Linked DNA regions of Callithrix jacchus. The protein of the gene in region 1 purifies or fractionates together with the protein of each later gene. This does not show direct contact. Links are inferred from orthologs where the notes say so. Each region holds a gene or a part of one and is shown on either strand. Other genes may lie near its edges.

Region 1 (4,497 bases):
GATCCGACGAGCCCGCCGCATGCCCATGAACAAAAACGAGCTGGTGCAGCTCTACCAGGTGGGCGAGGTTCGGCCCTTCTATTATGGGCTGTGCACCCCCTGCCAGGCACCCACCAATTATTCCCGTTGGGTCAACCTGCCAGAAGAGAGCCTGCTGCGGCCTGCCTACGTGGTGCCTTGGCAGGACCCCTGGGAGCCATTCTACGTGGCAGGAGGCAAGGTGCCCACCTTTGACGAGCGCTTTCGGCAGTACGGCTTCAACCGAATCAGCCAGGTGCTCATAAGGGAGAGGGCAGGGGTTGGGGCAGGAGGGGTGGTGGGATCAGGGAGTTACGAGGAGTGGCCCTGGATGGAAAAGAGGCAGTGAAGCAGGAGGGATCATAGTTTAGTAGGTGAGTGGATAGTATGGAAGATCCAGGATGCTTCCAGAGGGGTGAGGATGCTGGACTGTGGCTTGAGGGAAGTCAGTCTCAGCCCTGTAAATGTCATCAAATTTTGCTGACCCGTCTTTCCCCCTACAGGCCTGCGAGCTGCACATGGTGGGGTTTGATTTTGAGGTCCTGAACGAAGGTTTCTTGGTTCATAAGGGCTTCAAAGAAGCGTTGAAGTTCCATCCCCAAAAGGAGGCTGAAAATCAGCACAATAAGATCCTTTATCGCCAGTTCAAACAGGAGTTGAAGGCCAAGTACCCCAACTCTCCCCGACGCTGCTGAGCCCTTCCCTCCCCTGGTCTGAGAAGTTAGCCTCTTGGCTCCTCAGGCCACCCTTAGGCCTGACTGGGGTAAGAAATGTGACTCTACTTTACAGAGGTAGCTGTGGTGTTGAAACACTGGACTTGAATATGGGGTGCTGGGATTTAGTCCTAGCTTTACCACTAACTAGCTGTGTGGCCTTGAGTAAATCCCGTTACCTCTCTGGGCCTCAGTTACCCTGTCTGTAAAAAGGGAGGTGAAAATACCTACCTCACAGAACTGTTGGGAGGCTCAGATGAGACGCTATATGTGAAAACATTCTGTAAGCTTCGTACAAATGTGAAGTATTAATATTATCACAGTATTATTATTATTGTTATTAACAATCTTGGGTGGGTAGGAGAGCAAAAAGTATGAATGGGATGGAGCTAAGAAGGCTGAGTACTTAATGAAATGGACTTTTTGGAAAGAAATCAGATGAAGGCATAAAATTTAGTTCTTAGCTCTTGGGCAGAAGCCTAAAATTCCTGGTTCTCTCAGGCCTTCGGCCTCAGGAGCTCTGAAGGAGGGCAGGGTCTGCAGGCCCCATGGGTGACAGCCTCAGATCTGTCCCTTCAACAGGCCGGGCTGAGTATGTGCCTACCGATGACAATGTGTAAATAAATGAGTGTTCACACCCACAGCTGGCTCCGTTACTCTCTTGAGCTGGGGGTGGAGGGATCGGGGCCGGGTTCTCCCCTTGCACACGGTGGGGAGGTGGCCACGGACGAAGGTCGCCGCCTGCAAAGCACTGAAACCTCAGGGCCTTCCTTGCAGGCCAAAGGCCTGCGTGAACGTCGGCCGGTTGCTATGGAGACCGGCCCGCGGTATCCCAGCATGCCTCGGGACCCAACTGTCCAATTGTGAACACCGTCGACGGTCGCGTCCTGATGAAGCACACGGAAGCACCGAGGCTCTGCCTCCTCGAGAAGAGGGAGCCGCGCAGGTCTTACGGGAGGCCGGCGGCAGCAGCCGGTACCGGCAACCACGGGCACCTCTCAGGGAATCTCGGTCGTGAGGCCAGAGGCCCCAGTCCCCGCGGTGCGTATCGCCATGCATGGCTTTTGTTCAGCCTCTCGGGTTAGTCCAGCAGAGCCGGCACAATCTCCTCCTCCGAGCCCGAAGCAGCGATTTAACCGACCTGACGCGTGCTGGGCCGCGGGCCAGCCAGGAATGTTCCGGCCCGTGCCGGCTCATCTAGAAGGGAGCAGGAGGCTCCCTGGGCGCTGCGGAAAAGTTGGGTTGACCTGTGTGAGAGTGGGGAGGGTCTGCCTTCCCTGGGCGCCTGCCCCGGAGGAGCTGCCATTCTGAAAAGATAAATTGCCTGTGTACAGCGCTTTACAATGTGCTTTTCCATCCCTTACCACCTGCGAGCTCTTCAACACTCAGAGTAGGAATAGTTACCTGTTTTTTGCACCCGGGGCAAGGAGGGAAGGTTGTGACTTAACTCACTTATAATCAGAACCAGCGGGAGGAGAGAAAGGCTTCTGGAAGAGATAGGACTTACGCTGCGTCTTACAAAGTGAATATACTAACAGTGAAGAGGCATTGCAAATGTTGGGAACTGGCTTGGAGAACTGAGCTTTTCAGGTCAGGTTGAGGTCATTAGTGAAATTGTTGAGGAATGTGAACGCTCACCTAGGCCAGCCTTACAATGCACAACTTGAATCGGTGTCAAGGACAGTTTGCTACCATTACAGGGACCTGGGACTACCAAAAAGTAAAAGCTAATCTCTGCCTCACAATTTTGTTGTTGTTGTTGTTGTTGTTAAATTTGTATTTGCAAATCCTCCAGTCATCAAGTGAGCTAGTACTATGCTAGGCAAATAAGACGCATGTGCAGCCCCTGCCCTAATGAGGCTCATAGGCTGATTGGGAGGACAGACGGGAGAATGGGCAAATAGGAGATATAAATAAAGCTTCCTGGAGGGAGTGCTGTCTGCACTGTTCTAAAGGACTACAAAGCAGTGTCCAGAGAAGCTGGAAGAATATCACAGCGAAATAGAACCTGCAGGGGGCCGAGAGCTTATCTGCTGAGAGGACTGGTTATTCTTCCTTTTGGGTGATCTCTTGGCAGTACTTGGCACTATCGGTACAATTACTGCTGGGAAGTACTTGGCTTCCTTCTGAAATTCTTTCTCCAAGACTTCGGGTTTGCCTCTGCCTTTGTAGGAGTCTCCTCATCTGCCTCTTTGGTGACCCTGGGAGTCCCATTGTGGATGTCTTCTGACCACACACATTCTGCCTTGATACTTGCACCTTCTCCTGTGGCATGAAGAACTTGCTGTAGGCCGATGACCAAACCTCTGCAGCTCAGATTTCTCACTGAGATTTAGACCCATGTACCCCAGCTGCTTTCCTTCTCTTATTCTGGGTCTTTGCTACTAACTCGATCTGGAATATTCCCTCACTCAATCAGCACAGCTCACCCAGCTGGTCCATCTTCATCTAGAAGCCCTCCCTACTGCATCAGGCTTCAGGTCCTGGTTACATACCCCTCCCTTATACCCTGGTCTTAACTCTCCTCATACCAGAGTTATAGTCTGCTCCTTTGCCCCTGTCTCCCAAGAACTTGTAAACTCCGTGAGGTCAAAGACAGTCACACTTGGGGCCCCTGCATACCATAGTGCCTGACAGTACCTAGCATATATTAGATGTTCAATACATGTTAGATGAGTCAGTAAAAGAATGCTTACCAGTGTTCAGTGTTGCCGAGCAGACAATTGAAATAAGCACTGAAAAATATTGTCATTACCCATAAGGAAGTCACTGGTTAATGGTACAGGATCAGTTTCAGCTGAGATCGATGGGTACAGAAACACATCGAACAAGTGGAAGGTGAAACTAGGAACAGCCAGTGTGCATGAAACCTTGAAAAGTATAACTGAACTGGCAGACAGGGAGCAGTCAGGTGGAAGGGTGAGGTTTTGTGTTTCTGTGTTTTGTTAATGGTAGAAAATACTCAAGCACATTGAAAGTTTCATGGGAAGGAGGTTGCTAAGAGGGAGAAGCTGAAGACACAAAAGAGAGAGGGGAGCACTGATGACCTGAGGTCCTAGAGGAGGCAGAAGGAAATGGGATTTGACCCAGAGCACAGTGAAAGACAAGGGGATTGTAATGGTATCCAGAAGAGAAGCTGAGGGCATTATAGGGAGAAGGAACAGCTGAGGCAGAGGGCAGAAAGTGAAAGTGCAAGCACTGGCCGTTAGATGGTGGGATGAAGGAGCTGGACCGGGAGGGCAAGTGCAGTCTGTGAAAGACCTTGAAAGCCCCGGTCAGAAATGTAGATCCAGTTCAGATATGGTGGCACACACCTGTAATCCCAGCTACTCAGGAGGCTGAGCCAGGAGAATTGCTTGAACCCAGGAGGTGGAGGTTGCAGTGAGCCGAACTCATGCCACTCTAGCCTGGTGACAGAGTGAGACTCTGTCTCAAAAAAAAAGAATGAAAATTGGCTGGGTGTGGTGGCTCATGCCTGTAATCCTAGCACTTTGGAAGGCTGAGGTGGGCGAATCACAAGATCAGGAGTTGGAAACCAGCCTGGCCAACATGGTGAGATCCTGTCTCTACTAAAAATACAAAAAATTAACTGGGCATAGTGGCAGGCACCTGTAATCTTAGCTACTTGGGAGGCTGAGGCAGGAGAATCACTTGAACCCAGGAGGTGGAGGTTGCAGTGAGCCGAGATCGCGGCACTCACTCCAGCCTGGGCGACAGAGCGAGACTGTCTCAAAAAGAGAAAATAAAAATTTAGGTCCAGTTCCAT
Region 2 (3,810 bases), on another chromosome or scaffold:
GCTAGGTTCTGCACGCAAACATTGATTTCCATACAGATAGGGACTTCCACTGGGCCTCCCAAAAATCTAAATGTAAATATGCGGATGTGGGAAGAGTAGAGAACTAAATGGTGAAGACTTGGAAGCATTGACGTTTACAGCCACCTTTGAACAGATTTAACAGTAGATTAAGCATCATATACTCAGGGGTATTCAAGTTCTGGTTTGGAGCATCGTGTGCATTTGCCTGTTTTTGTCTGTTAAGCAGATTTAAAATTTATTAACTAAATTTTGGGGATATTTTTGACCCACTGTAACATAATAGAGTAGGGGCTTTAAACTTAGAGACCTGGGTTGGAATCATGCTCCTGCTTCTACTTAGCTTCATGAACTAGTTGTCTGGGCTGTAAATGGAGATGGTGGTGGTACTGACTACCTCAATTTGAGGGAATTAAATAAGATCATGCATGTTAAAGTGCCTGATGCAGCATGAGTACACAGCAAGTGGTGACTGATGCTGATTCTCCCACCCCTTCCTGTTCAGAAATAATTTGTCAGGATTGAAATAGCTCTGTGTTTCTTCATTTGGATTTCAATGAAAGCTGCTTGCTTAAGTTTTTTTTTTTTTTTTTTTTTTGTTACCTATAATATGTAACACTTAGGAATGTAACAGAAAATGCTTTAATTAAATTATTTCATGTGTATTATGGTGTTCTTTATATACAAAGATGTTGTAGGATTGGGTTGTGGGAAGTGCAGTGGCTTAGAGAATGTAAGAAAATGCCAAGCAGCCTGCATTCTTGGATGTTGAGGATTGCTGTGTGGAGCTTTGCAAGGTTCAGTTTGGGGTATAAAGAGACTGTGTTTTACCACCATATAGCACAATAAAAATGTTGGCTATTCTCAGTGCCTGACTCTGAGGAACTAGACCCTACTCCACCCCATATGCCCTTCTTCTGCCAACTTACAACATGCTTCATAACAATTACTTGGACTTTCTGAGCTATTGTCCTTCAATTGAGTTAAGTAATTGTCCAAATAACTGATTTTGATTTGGCTTTTTTTTTTTTTTTTGGAGACAGAGTTTAGTTCCGTCACTCAGGCTGGAGTGCAATGGCACCATCTCTGCTCATTGCAGCCTCAGCCTCCCAGGTTCAAGCAATTCTCCTGCCTCAGCCTCCTGAGTAGCTGGGATTACAGGCATGCACCACCACGCCTGCCTAATTTTTTTATTTTTAGTAGAGACCGTTTCACCATGTTGGTCAGGTTGGTTTTGAACTCCTGACCTCGTGATCTGTCTGCCTTGGCCTCCCAAAGTGCTGGGATTACAGGCGTTGATTTGGCTTTTAAAAGGTTTTTTTTAGGTAGCTCTGTGAAATTTTTTTAATTAGGTAGGTATTTCATATCTCTTGTTGAATAATTCCTGAACTATATTGAGACTAACTTATTCTCTACCTTAAAAAGCTTTGTAATTTTTCAAATTCAGGCAGTACATCCTTTTGTACATCCCTTACTGCCCTACTTCCTTTCCCCAGTCACTGTTTTCAGTTTCTTAATCCATCCTGCCAGCATGTAGAAGTGTATACCTGTATCTTCATCTTTTTTTATGGTAGCAAGTTCTTCACTTGAGTTTGTCAGTAAAAGTGTAAATTGGAGATTTTCCTATCAGCATGCTTGGATATGCTTGTTGTTTTAAAGGGTGCCAGAGAATTCTGTTTTGTTTTTGTTTTTTAATGAGATGGAGTTTTGCTCTTGTTGCCCTGGCTGGAGTGCAATGGTGCAATCTCCACTCACTGCAACCTCTGTCTCCTTGGTTCAGGTGTTTCTCCTGCCTCAGCCTCCTGAGTAGCTGGGATTACAGGCATGTGCCACCATGCCTGGCTAATTTTGTATTTTTAGTAGAGAAGGGGTTTCACTGTGTTGGCCAGGCTGGTCACAAACTCCTGACCTCAGGTGATCCGCCCGCCTCAGCCTCCCAGAGTGCTGGGATTACAGGCATGAGCCACCGTAGCTGGCTGTCTTTTTTTTAAACAAGTTGCTATTGCTTAGTTATGGCTTCCTTACTCTGTTCTTGGGGGAGTGTGTGTGTGTGTGTATCTGTCTGTGCACACTTTTTTTTTTTTTTCTAAGACAGAGTCTCTGTGTCACCCAGGCTGGAGTGCAGTGGCACGATCGTGGCTCACAGCAACCTCTACCTCCCTGGTTCAAGCAATTTCCCTGCCTCAGCCTCCCAAGCAGCGGGGATTACAGGCGCATGCCACCATGCCTGGCTAATTTTTTTGCATTTTTAGTAGAGGTGGGGTTTCACCGTGTTGGTCAGGCTGGTCTGGAACTCCTGACCTCATGATCCGCCTACTTCGACCTCCCAAAAGTGCTGGGATTGCAGACGTGAGCCACCGTGCCCAGCCGCGTACACTTTTTTTACTGTAAGCCAAATCTTGGTAAAATTGCATCTTGTATTTTCTTATTACTAAATTACTTGCCTAGAAGTAACATTCAGTCTTTTTTTTTTTTTTTTAACCATTGAATCCTTTGTGCAACTGAAATTTTTAAACAGATAAATGGCCTAACTTGTGTTGGGGCCTAGAGCCCGTCTAAGTCCTCTTCATTGAGATGGGACCGTGGAGCACAGTTGAAAATTGTGTTCTAGATAATACAAATGGGAAAGCCTTTTTGATAGATACTGGTGAAAAATCACTGCTTGGACCAAGGTGCCAAGAGGTTTGGGCAAGTTCTTCAGCCTCAAGGTGAGTTTCCACAGAACAAGGTAACAAAGACACCTCAGTAAAACTGAGAATGTTCATTTCATAAACTTAGGTCTCATAAACATAAATAAGGGGTTTCACATCAGACCATTTGCACTTACAACCTGTTTTTTTCAGTGAAGAAACAGGCCCCAGGGAGGTTGTGTTTGAAGCAATTGCATTTTAGTTTGATCCGGGACTTAAGCTAAGTTTTTTTGACTCAACACTTTCTGTCCATACTACCTTGTAGAATTTCTTATTGGGAAATAAGAAACATCTACTGTATAAGATATCTTTAGGTGGGAAGAAGATTTTTTTAGGTGATTTATGAGTACGGGGACTGTTGGTGGACTCCTGTGTAGATGTTTGTGTTTACTGAGTTGGGCCTACCTTCCCCAGAGTGCTGCTCTATAAAAGGCAGTATTCACATTGATAATTGAAGCACAGGAGAATAGCTCTTGGGGAAAGAAGCAAGCCTTCTGCATGTCGTAGCTAGAATATTATTTTCTTACACTTGCATATGTGGTGATTGTAAAGTTGGTAACCACACAGGGAGAAGATACACAGTTGATACTAAGTATATATTTGCTAAAGAAATTTGAATGTATTTTGAGGGAACTTGACTGAATTTGTTAGCAACTGGAAATTTCTTAGAGGATTAGTGTGACTTGTTTTCTTTTCTAAACAGACCGGAAGGAAAAGATTATGCCCTTCATTGGCTAGTGCTGGGGACTCACACGTCTGATGAGCAGAATCATCTGGTGGTTGCTCGAGTACATATTCCCAATGATGATGCACAGTTTGATGCTTCCCATTGTGACAGTGACAAGGGTGGTAGGTATATTATATATTCCAATATTGATGTCAAAGGGGATATGCCTCGTTCAAAGCGTGTGCTACTAAAACTATTAGCTTTTGGCCCAGTAATTTAACTCTAGGACTTTATCCTACGGAATTACTCACCCACATGTACATAAGGGATTTTAATCGTAATTGTAGAATTGAAAAATTAAGATCAACCTAGTAACCCAGATGTTGGTTAAGCACATGGTATGTTTGAAATACTACTCAGCAATTAATGAGAAAG

What was found.
Region 2: the proteins of BRMS1 (region 1) and RBBP7 purify together in Homo sapiens (affinity purification with mass spectrometry; 3 studies listed by BioGRID and IntAct, counting the BioPlex papers as one, with this or other methods). This does not show direct contact. The link is inferred for Callithrix jacchus from reciprocal best matches to the Homo sapiens genes BRMS1 and RBBP7.

The regions. Positions count from the first base shown.
Region 1 is NC_133511.1:123,422,350-123,426,846, reverse strand, and holds the start of BRMS1 (breast cancer metastasis-suppressor 1), read left to right. Parts: upstream 1-1,641; 5' UTR 1,642-1,772; intron 1,773-3,479; exon of another isoform or gene 3,480-4,497. Other genes in the region: B4GAT1 (beta-1,4-glucuronyltransferase 1), read left to right, coding at 1-274, 522-713. UniProt on the Homo sapiens protein: Transcriptional repressor. Down-regulates transcription activation by NF-kappa-B by promoting the deacetylation of RELA at 'Lys-310'. Promotes HDAC1 binding to promoter regions.
Region 2 is NC_133524.1:17,122,584-17,126,393, reverse strand, and holds part of RBBP7 (histone-binding protein RBBP7), read left to right. Parts: intron 1-3,411; coding exon 3,412-3,557; intron 3,558-3,810. UniProt on the Homo sapiens protein: Core histone-binding subunit that may target chromatin remodeling factors, histone acetyltransferases and histone deacetylases to their histone substrates in a manner that is regulated by nucleosomal DNA.